Linked DNA regions of Notamacropus eugenii. The protein of the gene in region 2 interacts with the protein of the main gene of each other region in a pairwise test. Links are inferred from orthologs where the notes say so. Each region holds a gene or a part of one and is shown on either strand. Other genes may lie near its edges.

Evidence for each region.
Region 1: the proteins of MIF (region 2) and BNIPL interact in a two-hybrid assay, tested with the Homo sapiens proteins (2 studies listed by BioGRID and IntAct). The link is inferred for Notamacropus eugenii from reciprocal best matches to the Homo sapiens genes MIF and BNIPL.

What each region holds. Positions count from the first base shown.
Region 1 is NC_092873.1:304,901,403-304,917,570, reverse strand, and holds BNIPL (bcl-2/adenovirus E1B 19 kDa-interacting protein 2-like protein), read right to left. Parts: upstream 6,829-16,168; 5' UTR 6,687-6,828; coding exon 6,655-6,686; intron 5,922-6,654; coding exon 5,826-5,921; intron 5,677-5,825; coding exon 5,612-5,676; intron 5,408-5,611; coding exon 5,186-5,407; intron 4,199-5,185; coding exon 4,016-4,198; intron 3,834-4,015; coding exon 3,731-3,833; intron 3,586-3,730; coding exon 3,454-3,585; intron 2,820-3,453; coding exon 2,531-2,819; 3' UTR 2,513-2,530; downstream 1-2,512. Other genes in the region: C2H1orf56 (protein MENT), read right to left, coding at 1-1,069; exopolyphosphatase PRUNE1, read right to left, coding at 9,323-9,754, 10,996-11,154. UniProt on the Homo sapiens protein: May be a bridge molecule between BCL2 and ARHGAP1/CDC42 in promoting cell death.
Region 2 is NC_092875.1:1,502,030-1,517,151, forward strand, and holds MIF (macrophage migration inhibitory factor), read right to left. Parts: upstream 6,500-15,122; 5' UTR 6,023-6,499; coding exon 5,915-6,022; intron 5,577-5,914; coding exon 5,404-5,576; intron 5,083-5,403; coding exon 5,016-5,082; 3' UTR 4,900-5,015; downstream 1-4,899.

The DNA.
Region 1 (16,168 bases), on a different chromosome or scaffold from region 2:
TCTGCAGGGGGTTCTTCACTTGAGGCTGCCCCTGTACCTGAATCTGCCGCTGCTCCTTCGCCCGAGGCTGCCCCAGTTTCTGCCTCTGAGCCTGGATTTGCTGCTGCTCCTGCGGCTCCTTCTGTTTCTTTACCTGCATCTGTTTCAGCTCGTGGTCCAACCCTGCAGCCTTCTCTTTCCCCTGGCCTTGCCTCTGCTCCTCCAGCCCTTGCATCTGCTCTCGCGCCTCTTCCCGTCCTCGGCCCCCTCTGTCTCTCTCCTGTTCCTGCTCGCCTTCCTCCTTTAGCTCCTGCATCTCGCCCTGTTCTTGGTTCTGCCCCTGATCCTGCCCTGAGTCTCTGGAATGCTGCTCCTGCTCTTCCTTCCCGTTAAGTTCTTGGTCCTGGTCTTCATCATCCTCCTGCGCTAGGTCCTCGTCATTCCCTCGGTCTTCCTTCTGTTTCTCATCCCCGTCTACCTCCTGGCCCTCCTCCAGGCCCTGTTCTTGCTGCTCCCCTGATTCTAAGGACAATGAGTCTTCCAGGAGCTCAGCCGCAGCAGGGGCAGCCAGCTCGTCGTCTTCCGATTCCTCCAGATCTATCGTTTTCCCGACCAAACCAGGTTCATCCCTTTTCGCGATGTTTGGGATCCTTGCCGGGCCGGTGTCCCCTTCGCTGCCACCAGCCCAATCCGCTCCGCCCTGACTCTGACCAAAGACGCTGGCTTTCACGGCACTGGCCCCCAGGATCAGCCACAGGGCCCAGAGCAGCGCGCGGCCGGGGGGGATCATGGGGATGACAGGTTTCCAGGCAGTTTGGAGAGGTAGAGATGGGAGGGGAGGGAAGGGGCAGGGGCTCAGCTTCCTTCTCCCTCCCTCCCTTTTCGTTCCGGACTCCCGGGTTCGTTTGAACTGAGGGGAAGTCCGGCAGCTCGTGACACTTCCCCTGGGGCGTTGCGTGGAAACCGAGGGACCTCGCCATAGAACTCCCAGCCCCGCCCCGACCCCTATCATCTCTGCCTCCTGGGTACACCTTTCCACCAGACATGCGTTGCAGGTAGGACTGGCAGGCAAGGAGATTGTGACTGTCATTGGGATGGGAACTGGGGAGGTTTCCTTCACAAAATTGAGTCCTCTCTCGTAACTTAATTTATTAAACTGCAGTTTGTTGTAGAGGAAGAATCTAGATATGAAGACAGCTACTGAGACAGGCAGAAAAGCAGCTCAGACAGCTCACTCCGCCTAATACAGTCATGAGCACAAGCAGGCTGCAGGTGAATACTCAGTCCAAACCTGCCTTGTTTCAGCCCAGCCCTTAGGCTTACATGGAAAGGGCATGGCGTGGTGGGAGTTGAGAATTCCCTGGATCCCGGAAATTTGAGACGTGACAACACCTGGATGAGTTGGAAAGGAAAATCCAAAAAGGGTGAATGAATTAGGGGAGAGAGAAAGACAGACACTCAGAGACGGAGAGAGAATGTGTGTATAAATTCAGGAGGTTCAGTAGCTGGAGGGCAGTCTCCTTCCTTGGTTCTAGGGTCCATTATCCAACTCAAACATCAGTGTTAGGTCCCTCCAGAGCCATGCAGATCCTTGTCCAGCCTAGGTTGTAGGGAGAGAGAAAGGACAGAGTGGAATGGAACCTCCACAGAAGTGGACCCTACTCTAACTTGGGGGAACGAATGGATCTAGTAAATATATGTCTGAGTCCTTTCTACTTTTCCCCACTCCTTAGCTTCTCTACATAAAATCTGCCTCTCAAAACTCTGACCAGTCTCCCCCACATTGTGCATGAGGGATTTTGGTTTCAAATGGGGCTTTGCTGCTCACTATCTGTGTAATCTCCCCCCTCCCACTTAATAATACTTTATTTTTCCAATTACATGTAAAGATAGTTTTCAATATTCACTTTTAATTAGATTTGTTTTCAAAATTTTCTCTCTCCCCACCCTTCTCGCCAAGACAGCAAGTAATCTGATATAGATTATACATATACCATCATGTTAAATATATTTCCACATTAGTCATGTTACTACCTGTGTAATTTTGATCAAGGCACCCACATTTCTTATCTTCAGTTCCCTCCTCAATAGAGAGAGGACATTTGAGGCCCCTTCCAGTTGTCCATCTGTGATCCCACGATCTTCGTCCCTCCCCTCTTTCCAAACTCACCTCAAGAGAGTCTTCTCTTCTAACCCTATCCTCCTCTGCCCACTCTTTTTTGTTTCTCTGGGATTTTACCCAGCCTATACCCAACATATGTGCCTGGGCCAAATACAGAGAACTCTTATGTCACTTTCTTGAGTGCTGCATCTCCCAGTTAAGTTCCAAGTTCTGAAGGGAAGAACTAGGTTTTTCATTTCTTATCTCTCCACAAGATTCTGCTTGTCTACTCCTCCCCTCTCTCCCACCCTAGGAGTCCCTCCTAGAACTCACTGTCTGACAGCATCAGGGATGTGGATATGTTCCAAGGAGATGAGCTGGGCCAGCTCTCCTAGACTGTCCAGAAAACGAACCTTTCTGCTAAACTTGGAACTCAGGATAGAGGAAAGGTCATGTACATTTAAGATTAGAAAAGTGGCTGTCATACATAAGACAAAGGTAATCAATGGCTAGTTGGGACAGGGGAGAATGGTTAGAACCAGAATGAGGGAGGGGAAGGTGGGAAATCTGAGTTTCAGTCCTCAACTCAAGGAAGAGAGGAAAGGGCAGTGGATCTGAGGAGCAGGACGCCTGCATCCCCCAAAGTAAATACCTGATAAAAGGCCGGAGCATCACCAGAAATGCCTTCACATACCATGTGGCATGTACAACCACCAGTGCACGAAGGTTTTTTCGGAGTCTGAAGCAGAAAGTATGGGATCATCACATTCTTCTTCTTGATCTGTGCCCCAAGCCCAGAGGGAGGTCTCCTCCAAATCTTCTTGGTACCCCCTTTAATCAACATCCATTTGCAGTCCTCTCTCTGAGGTCTAACCCTCATCCTAGCTGCAGTCTAAGACCTTCACTTCTTTTTTTTGTCCCTCATGCCCTCCTCATTCTGAAGAAATTCCTGAAATGCCTTCTGTCCCTGATCCAATCCAAGCCTTCACAATTTCCTTTTCTTTGCACTCCCCTAGCCATAGTTTCCTAGTTTCTTCCTCATTCTTGTGTCTCCTTTGCTCCCTCTTGCATTCTTTCTATTCCACAGAGTTCTTGTACCAGAACTCCAGGTGGCACATGCTCAGTGAATAGAGGAGAACAAGAAAGGCTGAGAGAAAAAGGAAACATGGGTCTAGAAAGCAGGGACAAAGCAAAAATAAATGAGAAAGAATATTTGGAGAAAGGGAAAGAAAGAAAAAAGGGAAGGGCAGAGAGAGAAAAGGATGGGGGAAGATGAAGAGAGGGAGAACAAGGGAAGAGAAAGGAATGAGATCAGAGAAGAAAGGAGGAGGTAAAAAACAGCCAAGAATAATGATCTTTGACAGGCTTCTCACCGACGGTCCAGGGTACGGTAACATTGGCGGATCCAGCTCAGTGGGGGCACCTGGGCTCGGCTTGTGCCTCCATTCAGGTGGACAAGCAGATAATTCTCAGCTACTAGTAATTCTAGAGTCCCCACTATGTATCTGAGGGTGGAATTGAGGGGGAAGGGGAATGAAAAGTAGAAAACGGTGTTGTTGATGACTGATTATGTTATAGGTCTTTCTGACTTCTTTCCCTCTCCCTCCTTCAGTCCAATCTCCCCACAGTTTTTCAGGTTTCCCTCCTCACCTAAACAGGTGCTCCATGATATAACTGTAGTTAGGGATGCTGCTTCTGGGTAGGTAGCAGGAAGCAAAAAGGACAACAGCATTGAGGCCATCGCCATGGTAACCTGGGGAGGACAAGATTAGGGGCAGGAGGAAAAAGAGAATTAGTAAAGTCTGAGAGAAGTAGCTTGAGGGCAGACCAAGAGGGAAAGGGACAGGGAGTTAGGAAGTTAAAATGGTGAAGGGGACTATTAGTCCCAGCTCAAATACTATTAATTACAGGGAACCCAACTCCTATATTTATTACCTCCATGAGACAGGACCTTCTTATAGGGTTCAATGACTGTCATATCCACTCGAAGCTCCCGATGTCCTGTTCGGAACACCTTCCACCGATGACCATCCTCCCCAGCCACATCCCATACACAACCCTGGCCCAGTCTTTCAGCTGCTTCACTTGCCCCTAGGCCTTCTGTTTGGGGAAGCTCATCTAAAGAGACAGGAATCGCTAAATTTACACCTCAGTACTCTTGGGTGTAATAGAAGCAGTGATCATGACCACTAAGTTACATCCCATACACCTCCCTATCACCCCACTTCAACCATTATTTCCCAATTCTCAGTGACCATAGCCACGGTTGTACCCACAGTGGGGATAACTGGTGGCCTTGTTCCATTTGGGGACTCTAATGAAATGTCCTTTCCAGCTCCCAGTTACTTAATTTTTATATACCCACTAATTACTTTTAAAGCCTGCCCCTTTGATATAAGTCTTGCAAAGACACACACACACACACACACACACACACACACAATATGTATGTATGTGTGTACATATATATAAATTTATAAGTGCATTATATTTAAATATATTAAAAATGCACAGATACACACATTCCTGGTTATGTTAGCCCCACCCATTGCCTTATAGCTCCATTCCCATACTGATCTCCCACTTGTATCCTCATTTTCAGGATCAAAACATTTAGAGTTAAAAGAGACCTTAAGGATTATCTAGGTTGTACCCCTCATTTTACTCTGAGGTCCAGAGAGAGGACCTCAAATTTAGGTCCAGTACAATTTTTATTGAATTTTTTTAACTTTTTTAACTGCTCTTTTAGTTCACAGAATTTAAAAGACATGTTGTCCAACCTCTACCTACTCCCCCCAAAATCCCCTCTAAAACATTCCTGACAAGTGGTTATCCAGCCTCTGCTTGAAGATCACCAGTGGGGGAACCAACAACTTGAACAATTCATGTCTTAGATCAATCCTATTAACTTCAAATGATTATTTCTCAGCTCTACTAGCTATGCCTCTTACGGACTTATTAAGTACATCTTTACCCTCACTGGCCCCTCCCCTTATTGTGCCTCCAAAATTGTCTCCCACTCTATTAGCCCTGTTATTCTACCCCAATCCATTCATTCCACCAGTCCTCAGTTATTCTAGTTTAGTTCTTAGCCTCAGTTCCTACCTTCCCATTCAAATTCATGCCCACTGTCCAGCTGTTCTGAGTCTGAGGGAGTCTCCAAAGCATCCACATCTAGGTCAGAGCTAAAATGTGGGGAAGGTGTGGAGAGGGTGGAAGAGGCTTCTTTATCTCCTGTGTCCTCCCCCAAGTTCAGCTGGAGCTCTGGGGCTGAAAGGCGCTTCCGCATGTGACGCCTGCCACATAGTGCTAAAGTGTTTAAGGGACCTGGGGCAACAGGGAGAAGAGAACTGAAGAGAGGAAAAAGGTAAATTAAACAGCCTGGGAACAACAAGGGAGAGGGAGGAGGGTAGAACTAACGAGAGGGACATGAGGGAAGGAAAACCAGGCAAGTGTTGAGGATGGACAAGGGAGGCCCACCCTCCCCACAGTAAAAACCAGGGCTTGGTACCCAGCTCTGACCTTACTCACCCATCTGGGTACCTTCTCTATTGTCCTCTGGATCTTCAGAGGAATTGATCTCCTCAGGGAGCAGACTGGGATGTGGGGAATTAATTAGTTGAAGAGAGCAGGAAGAAGCTGGGACTCGGGTGCTAAGTCCTGCCCTTCCCACAGTAACTTTGCCCTCCTGTCTCCCCAGCTATGTTCCCAGAGTTTCCTGAGCCTCTTGTCCCCATCCTCTCACCGGGGGAACTCTTCATCCTGCCACTCTTCTTTCAATTCCACTTCTCCAAATCTCAGTGATGGTCCCGGCTCTTCTGCTTCCACATTCTCTCCAGCCCTGAGACCATTGCCAAGGGACAAAGGAATTGAGAAGTGGTTAGGTGGGCAGCGTTATTCTTGGCAGTGATAGGAAGAAGCCAAGGGCATAAACAGCAGACCCATAAGAGAATCTGGCCAGATGTCTCTTCCCACTCTCTCGGTGAACCAGATGATCCCTACTCTTTGGTTTTGAGGACAGAAACAGGAAAAAGTATAACTTGAATACCTTATACCTAACTCAGTTTCCCCACCTGCAAAGTTAGTTTGAGAGGCAGTCTATATTGCAACTGGCCTGAATCCAGAACAGATCTACCCAGTTGTTTGTTACTTTACAGTTAAGGAAGATGACAACCAGTCAGGCCTGCCTTTCTCCAAACTTTTGTGGGGTGGGGCCAGGGAAATCAAGGTATAGGTCAACATCAGCTAGGTACAAGAAACCAGTCAAGAAGGTCCTGGTTCCAGTTTCCTTGTTTTGGAGAGTGTGGATTAGAACTGAAAGGATGGATAGAATCATCATGTTTTCCCATTTTGCCCAAGGAGCTCTTTTGGGGTCCTTTCTGTCTCTATACTTTCTATTTAAAACTATCCCTGTTCTTTGCCAAAAGTAACGACTTTGTCCCATCTCCTCTATAAAACCACCCTGAGCTTTGGCTTGAGCCCAATTAATGGGACTCAAAGAGATGCCCCCTCAAGACCAATGATAACAGGTTTCCAAAAGACAGCCAGGTGAGAGGGGAAGGCCCAGCACTTACCCAACATCTTTTGATTCCTGTAAACTTCCCATCTTCACAAGTCTCTCTGTTCCCTAGATATCTAACATGAGGAGTGGGGATGAAGCTCCCTGTTCCTTCTTCCCTCTTGTGCTGCTGTCTCAGTGACTGCTCTGATGGCCTCCAAAAGAGGAGGAGGTAGAGAGAGGGAAGTAAACTCATCTTCAAACAGGTTTTGCCACCTCCCCTCCCAAAGAGGCTTGCCCAAAGAAAATCCGCCTCTTTATGCAGGGGTGTGGGGAGTGGGTGGGTGGGAAGAGGATGCTTTGGTTCCCAGACTAGATTTCCAAGGGACAGGTAGGTTGGGGTAGAATGAAAGCAAAAGAATCTGTGTATATGAGGAACTGGCCTTTCCCCTTTCTCTCCCAGCCCCTTGGCCTTCTGGAGGTGCTTAAGAGAAAGCAAGTACCTCTTTAGGCCGCTCTCCTCAGTCGCACAACTGATATGATTCTTGGCAGCCTTACTAGGGTGAGCAAGGCTGGGTAAAATAGAGAAGGGTGTAGGTCTCTATTAACAGAGAAAAGGGCTCGAACATGGCATCATTTATTTTGGGAATAGATAAAGAGAACTGGAGATGGGTTGGGGCAGTCACTAACCATCCATATTGAAGAGCAAAACTGGGCAGGGGAAGGATGAGATTTATAGGAGGAAGGCAAAAGGAGAAAATGTAAAAGTTCAGTTTTTTAAAAAGAAAAAATGACACAGGACAGGAAAAATGCATTTAATGCCTTAACAAAGTGCAAAATAAAACTCCCCACAATTATAAAACACAAATTCCTTTGGTTCAATGATTATGCCATTGCTTTTTTTCTTTCATATGGCTGCAGACGTCCTTCAAAGAAACAGTCTACACACACACACACACACACACACACACACACACACACACACACACACACACACACACACACACACTCTCTCTCTCTCTCTCTCTCTCTCTCTCTCTCTCTCTCTCTCTCTGAGAGACAATGTCATGCCAAAAGGTGGGAGATACCTAAATACTCAGTAAAGTTAATGGCAGCACCTTCTCTGCTCATCTGGGAACATAAAGAAGTGGAAAGGAAGCAGGCCGGTTGGAGGGGTACAGGAGGCCACTACAGGGGAAGAACAGAGGGCGAGCCAGGGAAAGGCTGCTCCTATGCTATGATTCATATACTTGGATATGCTACATGAGGCTGAGTCCTTTGGCCTAATCTCTCTCTCTCTCTCTCTCTCTCTCTCTCTCTCTCTCTCTCTCTCTCTCTCTCTCTCTCACACACACACACACACACACATACACACTCACACATTTCAACAATACTGGACCTTGCTGGGCTGAGTTGGGGAGAGGGAGAAATATTCCCACTTCACATCCTCAAGTAAAAACTGATAGAGAAAGAAGACAGAAAAATAGAGGGAGAGACAGATAAAAGACGTACAGTTGATAGAAATCTTGGTGTTCGATAAAGATTAATTCATTTTACATAGTAGGAAACAGAAGCTCAGCAAGGTTGACTGACACCCACAGTCCCACAGTACAGACTTAAGTTTTCTTTCTTTTTAAATCTTTGTTACAAGGGATGATTCACTGGGTAGAAGAGTGAGGTGGGATATATTCAGAAATGTAAATACAAATTCAGATGTAAATACAAAGGACATCAATAAAATAAAACCCAAAGTCAGTAGAAATCACATCTCCTGACTTTCAGTCCAATTCTTTCCACAACACCAATTGTTCTCCTAAACAAAGAGAGAGGAAATACTGGCAAAGAGGTAAGAAACGTGAAAGAAATCGAAGGTAGGGGAAGAGAGAAACAAGAGACAGATCAGAGACAGATAGACACAGACAGAGACAGAGGCAGAGACACAGAGAATGAATCATTGCTTCAGTTTTACTGTTTTGAGAGAAAAGTGTCTTTTGAAAGTGACAATGATTCACTGATTAGCTCTCACAGATGTGATCAGGTACTAATCTTTAAGAACCTCTGGCACTCTGGAAAAGGGGACTAGAAGAACCCTAAAGCCTAGTACCTGCTCAGAAAAATGAGACTCACTATCTGGCCTCAAGCATAATCCTCTGCAATGCTGGAGAGAGTCCACAACCAATTTTATGGAACCAGCTGAATGGAAATTTAACTTTCAAGTTAAATACTATCATCTCAATAGTGGCAGACAGAAAAATCATGGTCCTACATTTCATAAATAGGCTGAAAACTCTGTAAGTTTCCAAAGCTATCTCTGCTCTACCTAGCACAGGATACGCAGTCAGGTACCCAGTCTTTGTTCAGATAGGGGCTGACAACATTGATGGAGTTCACCTGATACCATTTTCTTTTTCTTCTTAATATCTACCTTTTCACAGATCTGTGTGTGAGATGCTATACCCCTGGGTTGTAAAAGAATGAGGTCAGTGCAGATTTCCAGAATTTATCAATAGAGAAAATTGGCTGATTGGTAGAGAACTGGCAGGGAAGGTAGACAACCATCCCTACAGCCATCACATCTTTGACTTGTATCTCCTTCCACAGCTGTGTGAATAGTGGCCCTGGGTCCTGGAGCAATGAAGAGAATCACAGAAATTCCCTACATATTCCAAATCATGCATTCAAGCTGGGCTGGGCACCTTCTCCCACTCTGTTCTGCAACTTCCCCCCTATTCCCACACCATAGGTCACTTCTTCTTCTGGGGAGGACTGGTAGAGGAACGTGCCATTGTGATCTGGCTACATTTCTCAAAGATAGCCTCAGCTGAGAGCTTAGGTAGTCCCCGATCCAGAGGGCACTCGTCTACTAAGCTGTTCATGGGTGTGGGGGGCAGCACAGGTTCCTCCTCATCTCGAATCATTTCGGGAATCAGGGTACTAATGGCTTTGTCCAGTTCATCATCTATCTGCTCCTGAGAGGAGCCTTCTGGCCCAGGCGTCCCTGAAGGTGTCTTCATGGCACCAGGATGCCCCCATAGGGCATCTCTGAGGATGGGGAGAACTTTCTTCCTGGAAGCAAGAACATTTCCTTGGAAATAGGCCCTGAGGTTAGGGTGGGGGGATGGGGCTGGAGTCAGATTCAGGGGTGGACAGCTGGAACATTCCAAGGCTCCACAGATCTAAGGAAGAAAAGATAAGAATGAATGAACTTTACCTCCTGAGCTGAGCTCCTAAAATAGTCTCATCCTAAAGACAAAAGGGGTAACCTCATGCTTGAGATTTTACACCCGTCCCTAGCTGTGAAGAGAGAAGCACTTACCTGGAGAATAAAGGGAAAACACTGTGGAGCTGGAGTGAATAATCAAATGCAACAGAAAGAGGAAACAGTAGAACATATCGAGAAGAATAAAAACCAGTCTTCTAAAAGAGGCAATCCAGATGATATATGGTACAGGGTCCTTGGGTATGGCCTTATGACTGAGTCCAAGTTTTACTGAACAAATCTTTTTATTAAGGGGATTTGTTTTGTGAAGTTTAGATTCAAAGGTCCACTTGAGGACCTAGAGGGTCACATGTGGCCTCGAGGCCACAAGTTCCCCACCACTGGCACAGTCTGAGAAGAGGGACAGAAGGGCCTTGGACTCAGTAACAGTAAAGGGAATGAAGGACATTTCCTGCTTCCCTGAATACCCTTTGCCTTCTGAGACTGAATCAAATTGTCCAGCCTGGGCAGCTGGGAATAGGGTAGAGAAAGGAACCAAGGAAAGGATGGATATAACTTATTTAAGTGAATAAAAGTGTCTGATTATGATTAGATCATTCCTTGACATCTCATATGGCCCTAGAAATCCCTTCGCCTTTCTACCTCAAAATTTTTCCCTGAGTTAATCAGTAACCATCAAGAGGTGAGAAAAGGGCAGATGGGGCCAGATGATTAACAAGATTGGGAAAGGGGCCAAGTCCACAATATTTTCTATAAGAATATCACCCAATAATTAATAACCCAACTAATTCTTTCATGGTGGGAAGAATTCACCTGAATTTTACAGAGGATTGTATAGAATCAGGTATAGAAAGGAATAGGCAAGATCTGAATGGAGAGTGGATATGGATAAAGGATGAGTGACTAAGTAAAGAGGAAAACCCAGAACTGATTATCAACTTAGAATAGCTCCATTCAAACAGATTTAAAATTCCTTGAAGGTAGAGACTATGATTCATGTTTCTATTGTAACTTCTCCTGCCACCAACAGCCAGGATAAGGCTATAAACTCTGTTAACATTCCAAACAAAAAAATCAGGTTCTATATCAAGGTAACTTTCTGTACACACAGAGTCAATTCAGGGTGGATGAGAGCTATCAACAGAGTTCCTAACCCTATGGTTAGAGGGAAGTTAGGTTGAAGGGCTATGGACTCACCATACTCTGGAGGTCCATGCTAGGACAGAAAACAACCAGATGCCTCACTGGTTCATTATCAGGATTGAAAGTGATAGTCATAGCAACAAAGGCATCATAACCATGAGCTTGGCAGAAGGCATCTAGCTCTGCTGTGAGGTTGGATTTCTGAAGGAAGACCTGGAAAAGAAAAAAAAAAGGGAAGGGAGATGTGAGAACCATACGGAGGTACTCATCAATAAAAACCCATGTTTTCATGGAGTATGCTAATGTACAAAGAAAATTACCTGCTATGTTCAAATATTTATTGAGTACCCACTATGTATCTTATTGCGCATGTAACTCCATGTGAAGTGCAACTGGAGATACAGAAGAAATCTAAGAGTTTCTGTCTCCAATAAGCTTTTAAAAGCTTACAGTCACAATTCCTCATCTTCTAGGTGCCTTATATACAAACAGAAAAATAATCATGCACACAAAGTAAAGGACAGACACAGGAAAAGAGAACTATTTCCCCACTTATTCTTTGCATATTCATGATCTTCATTCATATTTTAAAAAGTATCTTGCTACAAATGAACAAATAAGATGGAATAAAAATACAAATATAACATCATCTGAATAATTAAATATAACCATAATAATGTAACACTATTTCCCCATCTGATCTCTTTTGTATACGTACACTCAAAAGTTTTGTTACTATTATTTTTTACAGTTGTCAATATACTTTGTTCTTATAATTCTTTGCATCAATTCATGTCTTTTCACACTTCTTGATATTCCTCTTATCAATGCAAATCTTAACATTTTTAATAGTGCAATAGATTGAAATAGCACAATTTCATTGTTCAGTCATTACCATGTTGTTGTTCATTTATGCCTCAATTAATGGCATAAATAATAAATTAATAAATCTGGAGGAATTACCCCATGGAGGCTGCTCATACACTCAATAGCCTTTTAACTGTCCTAGCTAAAACTAAGAAGGCCCAGCTGTTCCATGAACAGAGGAACACCTGGAGGGAAAACCTGATGGAGTCATAAATTTTCAAACTCTGGTCCTGGTTAACTGTAAATTCTTTAATGGTTAGGTTCTACCAAAGAAAGGCACATGCCACCTCAAATTAATTCCTACTGTACTACCTCTCCAATGCTGCTCATAAAGCCTTGGAACAAGTTGCATGCCCATACGAACTTCTCCTAAACTTTAATCCATATTCTAATCACAAATCATCTTCCATAGCCCCACTTGAACCTGGTTCACCTATGAACTATTGGGGATCCTTTGGAATCCCTGCTCCATCATTAATAAACTCTTCTACATCCTCAAACATTTCAAAAAGTATTCTTTCTACCCCTTCACCTAAATGGAAATCCAGGTCTCTCCTGAAGACATTACAAGCCTTACTATCCTCTCCCCAAGTGGTCATTCCTTCTGCTACTCAACTGTCACATTTGCTTGTTTTTTTATATCTTTAGGGCTCAGCACAGTGCTTGGCATATAGTATGCACATAATAAATGGTGTCTCTGTTTCTGTGCATCTATGTAGCCATCTCTTCCCTTTCTCCATCTATCCCTTCATCCATCATCTAGGATGTCTAGGTCGTTCTTTTTTCAAGTTTTTTTTTTTTTTCAAATCTTATTTGTTTATTTTTAGTTTTCAACATTCACTTCCATAAGATCTTGAGTTCCAAATTTTCTCCCCATCTCTCCTCTCCCCCCACCTGAAGAAGGCATGTTGATACAGGCACTACATATATATTCACATTGAACCTATTTTCACATTAGTCATGTTATGAAGAAGTATTAGAGCCAATGGGAGAAACCATAAGAAAGAAGAAACAAACAGAAAAACAAAAAAGAGAGAGAGTAAATAATATGCTTCAATCTGCATTCAGACTCCATAGTTCTTTTTCTGGATGTGGATGGCATTTTCCATCATGAGTCCTTTGGAGCTATCCTTGGACCCCTGTACTGCTAAGAAGAGATAAGTCTATCAAAGTTAGTTATTGCATATTGTGCCTGTTACTGTGTACAATGTTCTTCTAGTTCTGTTTACTTCACTCAGCATCAGTTCATTCAAGTCTTTCCAGGTTTTTCTGAAATCCACCTGCTTATCATTTCTTATAGCACAATAGTATTCCATTACATTCATATAGCACAACTTGTTCAGTCACTCCCCAACTGATGGGCATACCCTCAATTTCCAAATCTTTTCCACTACAAAATTCTTATAAATTTGACTCAGTTCTCCATATATTTTAGAAATAAGGCCTTTATCAGAGAGAGTTTGTAAAAATTCCCTCCTAATTTTGGTTCCATTGGCTTTGTTTGTAAAGTAAAAAGTTTGATAAGTAAAAACTTATCAATTTAATGTAATCACAATTATTCAATTTGCACTTCATAATGTTCTCTATCTCTTGTTTGTTATAAATTCCTCCGTTCTCCTTAAATCTGACAGATTAACTATTCCTTGCTCTCCCAGTTTGCTTATAGTATCAGCTTTTATATCTAATCATGTACCATTTTGATTTTGTTTTGGTATATGATATAAGATGTTGGTCTATGCCTAGTTTCTGCCATACTATTTTCCAGTTTTCCCAGCAGTGAGTTCTTTGGGATAAGTGAGTTCTTATCGCAGAAGGTGGAGTCTTTGGGTTTATTAAACAGTAGATTACTATAATCATTGACTATTATGCTTTGTGTAGCTAACCTATTCCACTGATCTACCACTCTATTTCTTAGCCAGTGCCAAGCAGTTTTGATGACTGTTGCTTTATAATACAATTTAAGAACTGGTGTAGCTTGCCTACCTTCCCTAGCATTTCTTTTCACTAATTCCCTTGATATTCTAGATCTTCTGTTCTTCAGATGAATTTTGTTATTATTTTCTTTTAGCTCTATAAAATAATTTTTTGGTAGTTTAATTGGTATGGCATGGAATAAATAAATTAACTTAGGGTAGAGTCATCATTTTTATTATAATACCTGGGCCTACCCATGAGCAACTGATGTTTTCCAATTATTTAGATCTGACTTTATTTGTGTGAAAAGTGTTTTATAGTTCCTGGGTTTGTTTTGGCAGGTAGACTCCTCAAAATTTTATAATGGAATGAAATTAAATGAAATTTCTATCTCTCACTATTGAGCTTTGTTAGTAAAAAAGGCAGGTGATTATGTGGGTTTATTAGGTCATTCTTTCAATCTTTTCAATTACTTTAGTGTTTTATTTTTCTCTTCCCTATCATCCAGTATTCATGATGACAAGTCCTCTAATAGCCTGATGACACAACTGCTCAATTCCATAACCTTCTCTATGCTATCTCTGCCACACAAAAATGTGGTCATGACTTAGAGCTTACTTTAAGAAATACATTACAATCTTGAAATTCAACCCTCCAACCCAAATCTCATTTGTTAGTATGGCCTCTTTAATTTTTCTTTTGCTACACTTAATTGTGTACATGTTATGTACCCCAGCAAAAACAATCAGCTTCTTCAGGGTCATGATGATGTTACTGTTTCTTTCTCTCCCCCATACTTAGCACACAGCCTGGCACATAGTGGGGCCTCATAAATGTCTAGAAGATTGAAATGAACCTCTTATCTTTCTGCCTCAAGAAACAGCTTGTAGGCCAGTTAGGCTGGAACTCAGACAAGTGAAGGAGAGTAATGTGAAAGAAGTATGAAAAGGCTGGCAGGAGCTCAGCTTTAGAAGGCTTTAAAAGTCAGGCTAAGGAGTTTACATTTTATCCCAGAAGCCACAGAAAATTACTGAATATTTCTGAGTAGGGAAGGACAACGTCAGACCCACGTGGAATAAATTGGAGGAGATACTAGAAGTAGGAATTACATCTTGATCTGATTCTTGACTGTTCCTCTAGGACCTGCTCACTCATGAATTTTCAGCTTCACCCTCACTACAGATACCTTCCCATCTATCTACAAACACTCTCAGGTCTCCCCAATCCTAAAAAAAATCTACTTCTCTTAACTCATCTAAACTATTTAGTTACTCTCCCATTTTCCTTCTCCCCATCACTGATAAACCTCTTGAAAATGTGGGTATTCTTAAGGATCTAAATCCTTCTCTGTGTTTTTCTTGTTCCTCACCTGCTGATTTCAGTAACTTCTACAGCTTCAACTACTTCAGTCATGCAGATGGTGGTGCACAAAACTCTGTCCTGACCTCTCTTCTGAGCTCCAACTGCCACTCAAGACACCTCCACCTGGGTCTGAGGTCCACTTGGACCTCAGAGTTAACACATTCAAACCAAGTTCTCCACAAACTATCTAATTTATGTCAATATACTTCACTTAATCTTCCATGTTCCTATCCTTGGGGTTGTCTTTTTGACTCTTCTCTCTATCCACACCTTCCTCTGATTTCCCAGACTTCTTAATTCCATCCCTACGAAATCTATTGAACTTTATCTCACCTCTCTTTTCATTGCTACCATCACAGTACAGACCCTCAGCATCATCTAATGGGATTGCTATAACATACCTCTTACAGTTCTTGCCACAACTTTATTTCCCCTCCAATATGTTCTTCATACCCAATAGAATAATCTTTCCTTTAAAAAAGTTTTATTTTTCTAATAACAAGCAGTTGTTTTCCTTCCCTCCCAATTTAAAAGAATAAAATAAAAACACAATCCTCATAACAAATATGCAGAATAATCTTTAAAATTTATAGAACCAATCTTCTGCTTAAAAACCTTCAGACGCTCTCTTCTGCTCACCAAGTACAGTTCAAACTTCCTTGCCTACAGCGTAAGGGTCTCTTCCAACTCAGTATCCTCTTATCAGGCTTATCTTGGGTAACCTGTGGTCCAGAACTTCTGGGTTATATGTATCAGCTTGGGGACTTCCCAGTGTATCTGTGGCTTTTGCGCTTAACCAGGGTTTCCCAGAAACATTAGAATTTGGCTTATATATGATGGCCCTTAGGTCTCATGTGAATACTTAGGATAACAAAATATTAAACACAGGCCAGGCTTTATTTAACCAAGAAATACACAAGACAAATCTACCTTCCTTCCCTCTCTAGTAGGCCACATCTTCTGTAGAGACGTAGCTAATCCTACAGATAGAAACCTACCGTAGGGTTGATACTGTCCTGTGAGAAGACGGCAATTGTTTCCACCATCGAGTTCCACCTACACTGTCCTTCAATCTCAACACTGC
Region 2 (15,122 bases):
GTTCCCTCCCTCCCCCCAGGGCTGCGGTAGACAATAGCGTTGGCCCGCCCTGCCTATCTGTGCCCTGTGTCCTTGGTGCCAATGGCCTGGGCTCAGTGTGTGCCTGGCTCCCGAGGCTCAGGCCGTGTAGCGAGCTCCTACGTCCCAAGCATCCCCTCCTCCCGGGAGCAGCCTATCTCTGTGTCTCTGTGTGTGTGTGTCTCTGTCTCTCTCCTGTCTATCTGTCGGTCTGTCCCTCTGTCTCCGGGGTCTGGGCCTGTCCCTAGCTCGGGGATCTGGACCCTTGGAAGGAACCTCCCAGTGTACCGCCTCCCCTCCCCCCAGTCCGTCCATCAGTAACCATTCACTAAACACCTTCCTTCCTTCCTTCCCCCAGTCCACTCTGTAGCTCATTCTCTGTCTGTCTGTCCTTCTTTCCCAAAACCTTAAACGCAGTTCCCACTGAAGCCCTTGGACTGCAGCACTGTAAGGGCCGGCCCGGGCCCCGCTTAATGGCTGTTCCCGCCTTCTTGGATGACTGCCTACATCTATGGTAATTATTTCTCTTTGCTACGGCAGCCCTGAGGGTCTCGCCCTCCCAGCTGGATCTGGCTTTTGTCTTTCTAATTAAAAGGAGCCATCCCTTGATTATTTCTTTCCGAGGCCGGTTTACTGAATACCTGAGTGAACACCTGAAAAGGCCTTAACCTAAAAGGGCCAAGGTCTTCCATGGCATGCTGGGCCATCTCCAGTCATTGTGATGAAGATCTGGTCACTGGATCCGGATGGCTCTGGAGGAGAAGTGAGGCTGGTGACCTGCACAGCCCTCCCTCACTCAAAACAAAGTCAACTGCAAGTCATGTCATCATTTTCCTGATGTCACGGTCCTCTTGGAAAACGAAGGACAAACACAACTAAGTGTTGTGAATTCCAAGAAAGGCCAAAGATAGGGCCAAGGGCTAGGCCTGGAGACAGGAAGAGCCAAGAGTTCAAATCCAGCCTCAGACACTTTCTAGTTGGGTGACTGTAGGCAAGTCACTTCATCCTGTTTACCTCAGTTTCCTCATCTGCAAAATGAACTGGAGAAGGAAATGGCAAAGGGCTGCAGTATCTTTGCCAAGAAAATCCCCAGTGGGGTCAGGAAGAGCTGGGAACTAAACAGCAACAAATAAATGTTTGCTAAATTAATGACATGAGTTGAACACAAGGGGAATGCGCTGATGGACCTGGCCACCTGGAGACTTGTCGCACCCAAAGAGAGCATGCAGGAAGGGTCCTGGGGATGGGGAATGGAGGAGAGCTGGTCTCCAAGTCACCAAGACCTGGATTCAAGTCTGCCTGGAGACCTATTGCATATGTGACCTGGGGCACAAGACGCTCCAGGGCTCTGGGTCTTAGGGGCTAGCAGGTAGTTATGAAGTACTTGTACTTGACCCTCACAACAATCCTGGGACATAGGGTCTATAAGATCCCCACCTTACTGAGGCAAAGCTAGGCAATATTGGAGGCAAAAGTTGAGCTCAGTTTTCCTGCCCCTGTGGTGCCATACTATGTGCACTGTGGCGCCCCCAGCCGCTTCTATGCTCTGCGTTTTTCCTCGGCACTTAGCCCAATGCCTGGCACATGGTTAGCATTTAATAAATGTTTGTCAGCTGACTTGTTGACTCCTCTGGAAAACTGTAACAAAAGGATTTCTGTAATTCTCTTTGGTTATAGCTCTGAGCCGCCATTTAGAAATAGTGCTGTGGCACAACTAAATCTCTATTTCTTATCCCCATGCACAGAGGGAACCCAAGGGGTGAAAGGAGATATAAAATAGTCGCTTTGGGAGGCTGTCTGTGGCTGGGAAATTCAGCAGCAGAGCATTTGTCCTGACACTCCATGTGCCTGATCAGTGCCTTCCTTTCTTAGGCCTGGTCACACTCCTTGTGACAGCCTCTTGCTGCTCTCCCAGCCCCTCCTTTGCCCCCAGCACTCAATGTAGCATCAGAAAGTGAGTGAGGCCTCCGGCAACCCCGTGTCTGCCTGAATGTAAATTATCCCATTGTCTTCAAAGGACCAGCAAGACCAGTCAGTGCATCATTGGGTGCCCCCTCCAACTCAGTCAGACAGGGGTTCATACTTCATAAAGGGATAAAAGAATTCACACATTAACCTTTCCCATCAGGGATTACATGATGCCATGGAGATGGCCACAAAGCTGGGAGCTTGAGGACAGGAGAGGGAAGAGGGGGGGGGGGGGCCATCAAATCCTCTCTCCCTTCAGTAAAGGTGTCATGAACCTGATGCACCACCCCTACCCCCACTAGCTGCCTCCTCCTGCCACTGGACTGTGGCTCTGGGCACCTGCTCTTGACCTTATGTACTCATCCAAGATGCAAGGATGAGTGATCACAGTACTTAGAGGTTGGCAGGGGCCAGGTGGTAAGGAGAGGCAAGCTGCCAGCCCCTGGTCTTCTGCACTGATCCCTAGAAGAAGGCTCTAGAGAGTACTGCTGAGAGGGAAAGAAAGGCTGGTGTCTAGGCAGAGAGGACAGAGGGAGATCTATGTGGCTTTGGTGACCTGGGGGGACTACCTGGGGAAAGCTGGGCCTTGAAGGAGTTGGGCTCAATGAGAGAGGGGCAGGTTAGTGAGGGAGCACTCTAAAGAGGGCGGAATATGCCCACCTGTATACAGGCTGGCCAGAAAGTAGAGCGAGGTAGTCTACAGGTAGAAAAATGGCAGAGGACCAAATGAAGAGGTGAAGCCAGAGACTAGGGTAGGGCAGACTGGGACCTTGAAAGCTAAAATAAGGGGTGAGCCTTGGAAGAAAAGGGCTTTACACCCAGGGAATGAGAATGCTGACAAAATTCAAATCTCTGAGACTCTACCTGCCCCCACCCAGTGCAGGCCTGGCTTTGGGAAGGAAGGTGCCAAGCTGGAATCCTGGACCTTGGCCTCCAGGGGGCCCTGCCTATTCCCCCTCCCCACCCAAAATGATGCTATCTCATCCATGGCACCCCCTCTCAGAAAGGTAATCTGAAGGCATTGATCTGGGGAGCTCCTCATAAGGAGACCACATGCAGCACCTCAAACCTGCACCAGCTCTACTCCTTGTTTATCCAGGCCCACTGAGGGACTGGGCCATTGCCCAGATCACACAGATGACCAGGAGGTGGCCCAGGCAGGGCAGGAGCCCCGGTCTGCCCCCCAATGCCTCTCACACAGTAGGCGCTTACTTCATTCATTGGATTAAGTTCAACTGCATATGTGTGTTGACCCACTCTTTTCCTGGCACTGTTTATGAGAGGGAAACAGCCTTGCACATAAGTGCTTAATCAGTGGAGATTGGAAACAGGCCAAGCCAACACCAGTCGGTGCCCAGAGATGGCACAGTTTTTTGCCGGGTGGGGCTGAAGGAGGGTGGGACCCCTTCAGGGAAGATGATTCTGGGGGAAGAGTCAATGGTTGAACTGGGTGGGTTAGAGTTGCAGGATTCCCACCTTGCCCACTGCTCTCCCCCACCAGTCAGAGGTCCAGCCCCCATGCTCCCCCAGCATCTACATTATTCTGGACCAGGAAGGCAGAGGAGTTCAGAGGGTGGGTGCAGGCTCCCTAAGACACCAGCTTTCTACACTGGTCCCCAACGCCTCTGCTCCCGCAGAGCCCAGTGTGCAGCCATCGCCTTCTAACTGTGCACTGATTGGTCTGTCTCAGATGTCCAGCCCTGGGAGTGTTCCTTCCTACATGGCTAGTCTCCCCACTGACCTCTGAATAAAGGATTCGCCAATAGGATGCGAATAAAGGGGTCTGCCCAGGACTGGGACCAGACCCCCTAACTACCACCCATGCAGGGTTCTAAAGGCCAGAGAAGCCCCTGGCTCTGACTCCTTTTGCTGGGGATGGTCCCCCCAGCACTGGGCTGGGCTGCCACCTCCCCAAGAAATGGGGACACAGTCATTCTCCCCATTTTACAGCGAAGCAAGCAGGCTCCCAAAGGCTCTGTGACCAGTCTCGACAAGGCCCGGGGGCAGGGACCTGTTGCCTGCCTTGCCCCCTGCAGAGGAGTGGCTGGAGCCCCCACCAGACAAGGGGGAGGTGAGGGGTCCAGTCCTACCCATCTGGCTCCTGCCCCACAGCCTGGCCCTGGGCCAGGTGCCCAAGCTGGTTTCTCCAACTTTAAGTGGATAGAACAGGAGGTGCTCTGAGAAGCTAAGAAGCACGCTGCATCTAGGGGACAGGCCCAAGGCAGTGACCCAGGTCTCCTTGCAGGCCCAGACTGTGGAAAGGCTAGAGTGGGACAGGAGGCCTGCAAACTCTCCCCACCCCCAAACTGGTGCATGAACAGTTAGGAAGTAGGAAAGGCAGCAGAGCCAGGTGGCCTGTCCCTAGACCCAAGCCACCCAGGCCCTCTGTGAATGCCCCAACCATCCTACTGCACTGTTAAACCTGGCAGGTTGGAGTACCTCAGCTGCCACCTACCCAGGGTAGGAAATTAACCTGAGGATCCCTGGGCACCCTCCTCAGGTGGACAATGGCAGATAAAACATCTGCTCAGGGATCCCACCATTAGCCCCCAGCTTCTAGTCCAACCCTCCCCAGAACCTGGCACTAAACCGATGCAGTAAGGAGCTCAGCTGGGCCCTTAGGAGATTTTCCTGATCTTGGGCCTAAATTGGAGACTTTTAGCAAGGGCCTCTGGGAGCCAAGCCCACCACAGCCCAGGGCCAGGAGTCCAGGGTCTGAGTGTTGTCCCGGAGGCCACCCCAGCCCAACCCCCTCCTCCAGACCCTGTGCACAGAGCCTCCAGTGCCAGACTGTATAGTTTGGCACTGGGCAACAGCAGCCTTGGGAGGGGCCCAGCCCAGCCTGGCTACACTGCAACCTGCCCCCTGCGCCCAGCAGCAAGACTCCAGCCCTAACACACCAACACACACACACACCTTAAAGCATTTTATTATTTTTCAACTACAAGAACCAGGGAGGTATCACACAGCAAAGGGGACAGGCATGGGCCCAGATGTGTGCCCATTAGGGAGGTGTCCAGCAGGGGCCCTCAGGCGAAGGTGGAGCCATTCCAGCCCACGTTGGCAGCATTCATATCATAGTAATTGATATAGATCCTGGCAGGGAAAAAGGGGGTGCTCAGGCCCTGAAGTGGCCCCTGTGTGCCCCCCACCTTGTGGCACCAAGGCCCTAGAGTCCTCCCCCCATGCCCTGGGCCACTTCCTCCCTTCTCCGTCCTCCTCCAAGCCCCAGATCCTCCCCTCCCCCTCATTCCCCGGCCCCAGTCCTCTCCTCTCCCCAATACCCGCAGGCCTGGGGCCAGTTTAAAGTTTAAGCTGGAGAGCGCCTGGAGCGATCTGCCTGCCCAGTAGCCTCCAGTGACCAAGGAGGGGGGTGAGGCCCAGATTGGGGACCCCCGATCCGCCGCGCCCCCTCACCTGTCCCCCGGGATCTTGAGGTGCTTGGTGAGCAGCTCACAGAGCTGCTTGCTGTACGCCTTGTTCTGGGGCCCGCCGATCTTGCCGATGCTGTGCAGGCTGCAGAGAGCGCACGGGTCCGAGGAGCCCCCGAAGGCCATCAGCTGGTCCGCCGAGATGTGCACCGCGATGTACTGCGGGGGCCGGGGGTGGGGGGTCACGGGCTTCCCTGGGCCATTTACGCACTCTGCCGGGGCCCCCTCCCCTCCATCCCGGGGAGCACCCCCGCCTCCCCCGCCTTCCCCCCCCCCCCCCCGCGCCGAGCCCCCTCTCCGCCCCCTCCCCGCCTTCCTGGGCCCCCCCTACCGAGCCCCCTCCCTGCCCCCTCCCCGCCCTCTTGGGCCCCCCCCACCGAGTTCACTCCCCGCCCTCCCCCGTCGCATCCCCTTCCCGCCATCACAGCCACCGCACCCCGCGCCCCCACCCCCTGCCGGTCCCCGGGTCCACACACGCTCCCCGCCCCCGCCGGTACCTGGGCGGGCTTGCCCGTGGCCTTGGCCAGCTGCGTCGTGAGCTCGCTCAGCAGGGAGTCGGGCACCGCGGAGCGCGGCACGTTGGTCTGCACCACGAACATCGGCATCTTGGCGGCGGCTCCAGCGGGCGGCGGCGCGGGGAGGTGGGAGCGGGGCTGGGCCGAGCAGGAACGAGCAGCAGGGCCGGGCTGAGCCGAGTGAGCCTCCGCACGTCCGCACGCACCGAGCACCGCGAGGGACCCACGCGCGGAGGGGGCGGGGCGCCAGCGGCCCACGTGACTCTCTGGGGCCCATGTGGTAGCCGAGGAGGAGGGGTCGCGTCTGGACTCCGGAACTCGGCCTCTCCCGCCCCGCCTCCGTGCGTGCCGGGCTGCTCGCAGGCCCCCCAACCCCGGCCTCTTCCTACTCTTTTTTGCCCCCCCCTCGCACCCAGGGCTGCCCTTAGCTTCTGGCTTTGGGGATCTCACGTCGAAGGGGGCCCTCGAACAACCCGCGGGGGCTCTCCCTGAAGTGACCAAAAGGGCCTTTTCCCCATCCTCCTCCTCAGCCTCTCTACGGACTCGACACTGTTGGACCCACTCTCCTCTCTGGGTTTTTGGAAATACGACCCCCCACCCCACCACCCCGTCTCTCCTCCTCCCTCTCTGACCAGTCCTCCTTGGGCTTCCCGGCTGGACCCTCCTCCATGCCAAGTCCTGTGTTGTCGGTGTCCCCCTGGGCTCCTGGGCCCTCTGCCCTTCTCCCTCTGTCCCACTGCTCTGGGTCATCTCCTCAGCCTCCATGAGCTCATGCTGATGATTCCCAAATCTGCCTGGCCTGGCCTGACCTCTCTGCTGACTTCCAGACATCCCCAACTGGAAGTCTGTCCAGTGGACATCTGAAACTCCACATGTTCAATACAACTCCACCTTTTCCCTCCAACCCTCTTTCCTTCCCTATGACTGCAGAGGGCACCTCCATCTTCCTAGGCCCTCAGGCTCCCAGGGTCACCCTGTACTCCTTACTGTCAGCTACCAGGTCCAGTGTGGTGCCAAAGCCTGTCCATTTCGCCTCTGCTACATCTCTAGTCCATTTCCCCCCTGCTACATCTCTAGTCCATTTCACCTCTGCTACATCTCTGGTCCATTTCACCTCTGCTACATCTCTGACCCATTTCACCTATGCTACATGTCTGGTCCATTTCACCTCTGCAGCATCTCTGACCCATTTCACCTCTGCTACATCTCTGGTCCATTTCACCTCTGCAGCATCTCTGACCCATTTCACCTCTGCTACATCTCTGGTCCATTTCCCCCCTGCTACATCTCTAGTCCATTTCACCTCTGCTACATCTCTGGTCCATTTCACCTCTGCTACATCTCTGACCCATTTCACCTATGCTACATGTCTGGTCCATTTCACCTCTGCAGCATCTCTGGTCCATTTCACCTCTGCACCATCTCTGGTCCATTTCACCTCTGCTACATGTCTGGTCCATTTCACCTCTGCTACATACACTCTGGTCCACTTCACCTTTGTACTATCCCTTGTCAATTGCTTCCTCTTTAGGTCACAATCTTCTTTACACATCCATTACATACTCCTTAATATGTTTCCCCCTTTCTTTAACATATGAATTGTGCCTAATTTTGTGCTATTTCTCCCCCTCCCCCACCCCCAGGAGAAGTGAATATGCAAGGAGCTTATTAAGCAAGCCAAAGAAAAAGAAACCTTCCTGTTGACCAGCTAACTCTCAGCCTGTGCTCCTCACTCTCACCATATCTAATCACAGAAGACGCCTGGCTTTACCATCCTCAGCGTCTCTCCCATCAGTTGTCTTTGCCAAGGCAGGCAGTCCACACCCCACTTCAGCACCTTATCACTTCTCACTCAGATCACTGCAATATCACCTAATCAATGGCCTTGCCTGAGTCTCCTCATCCCCAGTCTTCCTCCAAACAGCTGCCAATATTACCTGGCTCAACCTGGTGTAGGAAGAGGGCTGAGAGGCCATCGTCCTTTTAATTCAGGCCTGGCTTTGGGATGAGATTGATGCCAAATGCCCTACAAGTCTTTGAGCATTGATCGATCAAAGATTTCTTTTACCCTCACACAACAAAGCCAGGAAGCAGGGATAGGGACTGGGGTCCCCCTGGTCATAGAAACATGTCATCAGGGTAGGAGGAGTGAAATCACAGCTAGACCAGAGCAAATAAAAAATAATGTCTATTATGCACAGTTAGTCACATGCTAACAAAACCAAGAACTCAAAGAAATAGAGGAATACCCTCAAATATGTAAAATACCCAAACTGGCAGAAGACCAGAGAGATCCTATGTAAACTGAGTCTCAGAAAAGAAGGTAGATCTAGTTGTGAGGGAGGCACCAAAGAAAGCCCCACTGGTCTCGAAGGCTTCACAGAATTCTAGCTAGCCTTTTAACAATTGAGGATACATGCATGTTTTTTGTGACTGCATGTGTCTAATCTATATCAAAGTCCTTGCCTTCTCAAGAGGGGAGGAGGGGAGTGAAGGGAGAGAATCTGGAATTCAAAATTTTAAAAGTGAATGTTAAAAATTAATTTTACATGTAATTGGGAAAAATATGAGAAGTTCATACACATGCTTCACAAATCATTCTCAAAAACAGAAAAATTGAGAAACCAAGCATCCTATTGATGGGATGCTTGGTTGCATGTACTTGGGCCCCAATTCTAAAATCACATTTCTCTTTAAAAATCACATTTCTCCCTAGCCTCAAAACACTCTCCCAGGTAGTTTCTCCCCAGCCCAAGGACATGGCCTGTCCCAGCAACAACTGTTTTCTCCCTTCCTAATACAAAAGCCAGCGGCATCTATAGAACTTATTAGTCTGAACCAGTTATGTACTGACTGAACTGGCTGTGTACTGGGTCATAACGACGTTTACTACTCGCTGACCAATCATATGTATTCTTACCTATACTCCTTTACATTAATCTTGTCTAAAAAGACATTGATGAGAGAAGCCTGATTTTTCCTGGTCAGTCCTGACCATTGGTTGACTTAGTGAAGTTTCAGGCCTAAAACCACACCCCCAGGCAGCCCCCCTTGGACTATTTCCTGATGAATTTTGGGTAAAATACCTGCGCAGTAGATATCCAAAGTGCATGTTCCTTTAAGAACTGACCACTCCCTAATCCTACCCCAAAACACCTAGTTAGCATATTTGACACAAGTGATCCTATAGAATATCCTATATAAACTTTCCCTGTATCTCTTTAAGGTTGCAGATTCCATAAGAACTCTCGCCTGCTGAAAAGCATAATAAATCTTTACCTTGACTTCAACAATGCTTGAGTATGAACTCTTCTCCAGACGACTTGCCCCTGGTACCCTCGGTCCAGCCCTCATCACTACCAGAATCCTCTTATGAGACACACGTTTTCCTAATACCTAAATCAGAGAAAGATAAAACAGAAAAATAAAACCCTTGGCCAATATTATTAATGAACTTTGATTCAAAAAATTTAAACAAAATCCTATCAAACAGGTCAAGTGGACTTTATACCAAGGATGCAAGGATGATTCGACATTAGAAAAACCATCAACATAGTCATTAAAATTCAAAACTTCCCAAACCAAATGATTATCCCAATAAATGCAGAAAAAGCCTCTGACAAAATACAACACTTTTATGAAAGTACATGCGTAGAGAGACTTCTAAAAAGACCATAACAAGAAACTATCTAAAGCCAAACTCTCGCATAGCATGCAGTGGGGAATCCTAGAACCTTTTCTAATAAATGTGAGGTTGAAGCAAAGATGGCCTCTCTCCCACTCTCATTTGATATCATCCCTGAAAGGAGAGCAACAGCCCTGAGATGAGAGAGAGGAAGGACAGGTATGGAGGTAGGGGAAGAAGAGATAAAACCATCACCACTGGCTGAAGGTACAGTGGCATCAGCAGAGGTACTAGTGGAGAAAATTAATAGCCTCATCAAAGTATCAGGGTACAAAATACATCCTCCGAAAACAACTGCATTTCCATATAACAATCACAAAATCCAAGCAGTGGTAGTAGAAAGGGAATTCCCATTTCAAGTCACGTAAAAACACATTAAGTGTCTGAAGATACATTGTTCATGCAGGACAGAAGTCTGCCCAGGGGGCCCCTAGAGCCAGGCTGCTCCATCATGTCCTGCCTGCCCCTCCTGGGCCTGAAGTAGGGGAGGATTTCTTCCCTAATGCTATGGCTGGAGCCCCCCACCCCCCTAGCAATGGTATCTCACTGCTGGGTACTGGTGACTAGCACCTAGCTCTTTACTTAGCTTTCACAAAGCGATATTTACTTCTAAGATACAGACATTCCTGCTTAATTCCAGAGGTCACATTCTCCCCTCTGTCTGGGGAGAGGGGACTCAGGCTTGGAGAGATTTCATCCCACTAACTTCATGCCAAATGACTGGTCACAGCCATTTGGTCACTTGTCGGCTCATGGAACTCTTTGGCATCCAGGCTGGGCCGGTCGGACCAAAGAATCCCAGAATCTCAAAGACTCATTCTCTTGACCTTTTTATGCTCAAAAGGTCAAAACCTCCAACTCCATCTATCAATGGACAGAATGAACCCAGAGGCCAACAAAGAACTGAAATCTGGCCTCCTCAGAAGGAGAGAGCCCCAGCCTGGCTGCCTCACACCAGACCATGAAGGAGGTATCCATGCTAGAGACAGGAAGTCTCTGGAGGGCATGTCTCTGCTCAGTTGAGAACCTGAAGCCAGTCTCACAGGCTGCTGCACACAAGGACCAGAACCAGGTGCAGAACGTTCCTACAGCCTCCAAAGTCTCTCCCTTCTGTGGCAAAAGGCATGCAGAATTTGGTAACATTGGGGGCATGGATCCAAATCCCTCTGGACTGTCTGGACTTCAAAAGTCTGTCTAAGCTAGTGGCCTCAGAGCTTGGGTCTTGGAACACCCTTTCTGTGCCAAGGCAGAACCTTTCACCATGGTGACTTCCTCCTGGGGCCTCCATCTAGGGGAGCTGGTCAGCTTCCAGGCCCCTCCTCCTTCTTCTCCAGAACCCCACCCCTTCCCCTGCAGCTTTTGAGGTAGCTAGTTGAGTCACACACACACACACACACACACACACACACACACACACACACACACACACACACCCCAAACAAAGTTGCTTCCATTTGTATTTCTGCCATTTGTGATCTGGAGCAATCTTTTCCTAGGGTACCCCTTTGAAAACCTGGACCCTTTGACCCTTGAGCTACTGGGGGGATGGTTCTTGGTCTTTACCTGCCAGACATCAGGCCTTTGTTATGCCAAGCTGCTGCCCACACTTCTTTCCCACTTACCCCCTTCTTTTCTCACCTCTAAGCTGCCTCCTTTCTTCTGTGATATCACTCCTTTCAAGGGGAGGGCTCTCCTCCTGCACCAGGCCCTTTGCTGCCCCTAAGAATTTTATCTTGTACATGTGGCAGTCCCTCCGCTGTGACTTCTCCTCTCTGGATTCTGGATGCTAACCCTTAGGGCAGGAGCTTCCATCAGCCACCACCAATACCCCACCATTCCCGGGGAGAATCGAACAGTAGGCTCCATTAGTTTTTGGTGAAGGCTGGAGTGAGAAAAGTTGGCACAAAATTCCTTGTGGGCCTCTTCCCCAAACCAAGTGCCTGCTCTCTTTGTATATACACTTTCCCTAGGGAGAATGGATCCAAACTTATAGTAAGATGCTATGAGGGACACTGGACTAAGGGGAACCACATAGCTCTTTGTGACAGAATTTATACAGGGCCACTAGGTGTGTATACCTGTGCATGCATTCCCTTTCACTATATGCCTGAGACTCCTCTTGTGGGGAATGTCCCAACCACAGGTCCTCTCACCTGGATCTGGTCAGCCAGACGACATTAGTCATCCCCTTTTCTGCTTTTAACCTATCAGAATGAACTTAGGTGGTGCAGTGGATAGAGCACCAGTGCAGGAGTCAGGAGGACCTGAGTTCAAATCTCACCTCAGACACTTGACACTCACTAGCTGTGTGACCTTGGGCAAGTCGCTGAACCCCAACTGCCTCATCTTGGGTCATCTCCAATCATCCTGATGAATATCTGGTCACTGGATTCAGATGGCTCTGGAGGAAAAGTGAGGCTGGTGACCTGCACAGCCCTCCCTCACTCAAAACAAAGTCAAGTGCAAGTCATGTCATTATTTCTCTGATGGCATGGTTTTCTTCGGCAATGAACACACACCTAAGAGCCAGAGCTTGAATGAAGAAGAGTCTGGAGCTGACAGTCTCTTTGTTCTCTCTGAAGTAAATTCAAAGAATGGCTTTTGCTATGTCAACAAAGCAGATAGGGCTGACAACACTCCTTAAGAGACCTTTAGCCTAAGACACTTTTTCTGAAATAATGGGACGTTTTCCATATCTTAATATTTTGTGGACACATACTATGTTATGGCATGTTAATGGTAAGGAAAACACAGATATCCTGAGTTGTAATTTCAATTGAAACTTTGTCAACTCTGTTAAAAAATGCCCTTTCCTGTATCAGCAATTTCAAAGACCTCTTTACGACAAGATGTCTGCCAGCATAGTGGTGGGATTTCTCTCTATCGTATGTCATAGAGATGTTATAGAGAAGAAATTTACACAGCCTGGAATCATAAATCCCAAGTAACACTACTTTGTTAACTGTCTGGTCTCACTAAATTTACAATTTGTTCAACTAGGAAAGATTCTTTCTCACGGTACAATGTATTTAAGCCTGATTATCCCTGTACTGAGCAGCCAGATTATAATGATTGGCTCCATGGAATCCGTGTAATAAAAATGTATACCTTTAGCCTGTTGCCTCTACTTTCACCAAACTTTCAAGTTAACACCGGTTGTGAAAGTTTGTCTTTCAAAGATTGAGCCTGGCCTGAGCTGGGGGCCAGGCCCAGGCGGTGCAGAATCTCCTTTGGCTCTGTTGAGGTTTAGATTTTGGGAGAGGATGGCTCAGGTTTTACTTAGACCTTCTCTTTTAGTCAATAGGAGCTTTTTATTTATTTATTTATTTAATACCAAAATGAGTGTGCATTTTATTCCTTCCTTTAGTGGGATGTGATGAGAGTAAACTTCATGTTTTTCTCTCCCCTCCCCTCTTTTTCCCTCCACTAAAAAGTCTTTTGCTTGCCTCTTTTATGAGAGAGAATTTGCCCCATTTCATTTCTCCCTTTCCCCTCCCAATATATTTCTCTCTCACCGCTTAATTTCATTTTTTTAAGATATGATCCCATCCTCTTCAATTCACTCTGTGCTCTCTGTCTTTGTGTGCGTGTATGTGTGTGTGTGTGTGTGTGTGTGTGTGTGTGTGTGTGTGTAATCCCACCCAGTACCCACATACTGAAAAGTTTCAAGAGTTACAAATATTACATTTCCATATAGGAATGTAAACAGCTCAACTTTAGTAAGTCCCTTATGACTTCTCTTTGCTGTTTACCTTTTCATGCTTCTCTTGATTCTTGTGTTTGAAAGTCAAATTTTCTTTTGAGCTCTGGTCTTTTCATCAAGAATGCTTGAAAGTCCCCAATTTCATTGGAAGATCATTTTTTCCCCTGAAGTATTATACTCAGTTTTTCTGGGTAGGTGATTCTTGGTTTTAGTCCTAGTTCCTTTGACTTCTGGAGTATCATATTCCACACCCTTCGATCCCTTAATGTAGAAGCTGCTAGATTTTGTGTTATCCTGATTGTACTTCCACAATACTTGAATTGTTTCTTTCTAGCTGCTTGCAATATTTTCTCCTTGACCAGGGAACTCTGGAATTTGGCCACAATGCTCCTAGGAGTTTCTCTTTTTGGATCTCTTTCAGGCAGTGATCGGTGGATTCTTTCAATATTTATTTTGCCCTCTGGTTCTAAAATCTCAGGGCAGTTTTCCTTGATAATTTCATGAAAGATGATGTGTAGGTTCTTTTTTTGATCATGGCTTTCAGCTAGGCCCATAATTTTTAAATTGTCTCTCCTGGATCTATTTTCCAGGTCAGTTGTTTTTCCAATGAGATATTTCACATTATCTTCCATTTTTTCATTCTTTTGGTTTTGTTTTGTGATTTCTTGGTTTCTCATAAAGTGATTAGCCTCCATCTGTTCCATTCTAATTTTGAAAGAACTATTTTCTTCAGTGAGCTTTTGAACCTCCTTTTCCATTTGGCTAATTCTGCTTTTTAAAGCATTCTTCTCCTCATTGGCTTTTTGAACTTCTTTTGCCAATTGAGTTAGACTATTTTTCAAGGTGTTATTTTCTTCAGCATTTTTTTGGGTCTCCTTTATCAAGGTTTGACCTGCTTTTCATACTTTTCTTGCATCTCTCTCATTTCTCTTCCCAATTTTTCCTCCACCTCTCTTACTTGATTTTCAAAATCCTTTTTGAGTTCTTCCATGGCCTGAGCCCATTTAATATTTATTTTGGATATTTGGGATACAGAAGCCTTGATTTCTATGTCTTTCCCTGATGGTAAGCATTGTTCTTCCTCATCCGAAAGGAAGGGAGGAGATATCTGTTCACCATGAAAGTAACCTTCTATGGTCTTATTTTTTTTCCCCTTTTCTGGGCATTTTCCCAGCCAGTTACTTGACTTCTGCGTGTCCTCTCCACACCCATCTCGCCTCCAGATCCAACCAGCCAGCGCTTGGGGTCTGAGATTCAAATGCTGCTTCCCAGCCTCAGGGCTTCAGTGGGGCAGGGCTGCTATTCAGTGTGAGATTAAGTTCAGATGATCCAGTAGGGGTAGAGCCACCACCGGGGCTCAGTTCCCTCAGGGGGTTTACGCTGAGACCTTCAACAATGGATCCAAGCTTCTGCCTGCTTTGGGAGCCCTTGTGTGCTGCTGCCTCCGCTGCTGTCTCCCAAGGGGACCTGAGTTATGGAGACACCCTGCTCCCCTGTCAGTGAGCTGAAAAGACTCTCTCACTGACCTTTGGTGCCTGTGGGTGGAGGGACCTGTGTGGCTGCTGGAGATTTTGTCGCTGAAGCCTGCTCGGATCTGCTCCCCTTGGTGCCACGTGGCCAAGGCAGGGCTGGGCTCTGCTCTGGGTCCAGTGCGTGATGGACCTTTCAGGTCAGTTTTTCAGGTCTCTCTGGAACAGAAATCTCCTCCACTCCATTGTTCTGTGGCTTCTGCTGCTCCAGAATTTGTTGGGAGTTCTTCTTTACAGGTATTTTATGGGCTGTGGGTTTGGAGCTAGCATATG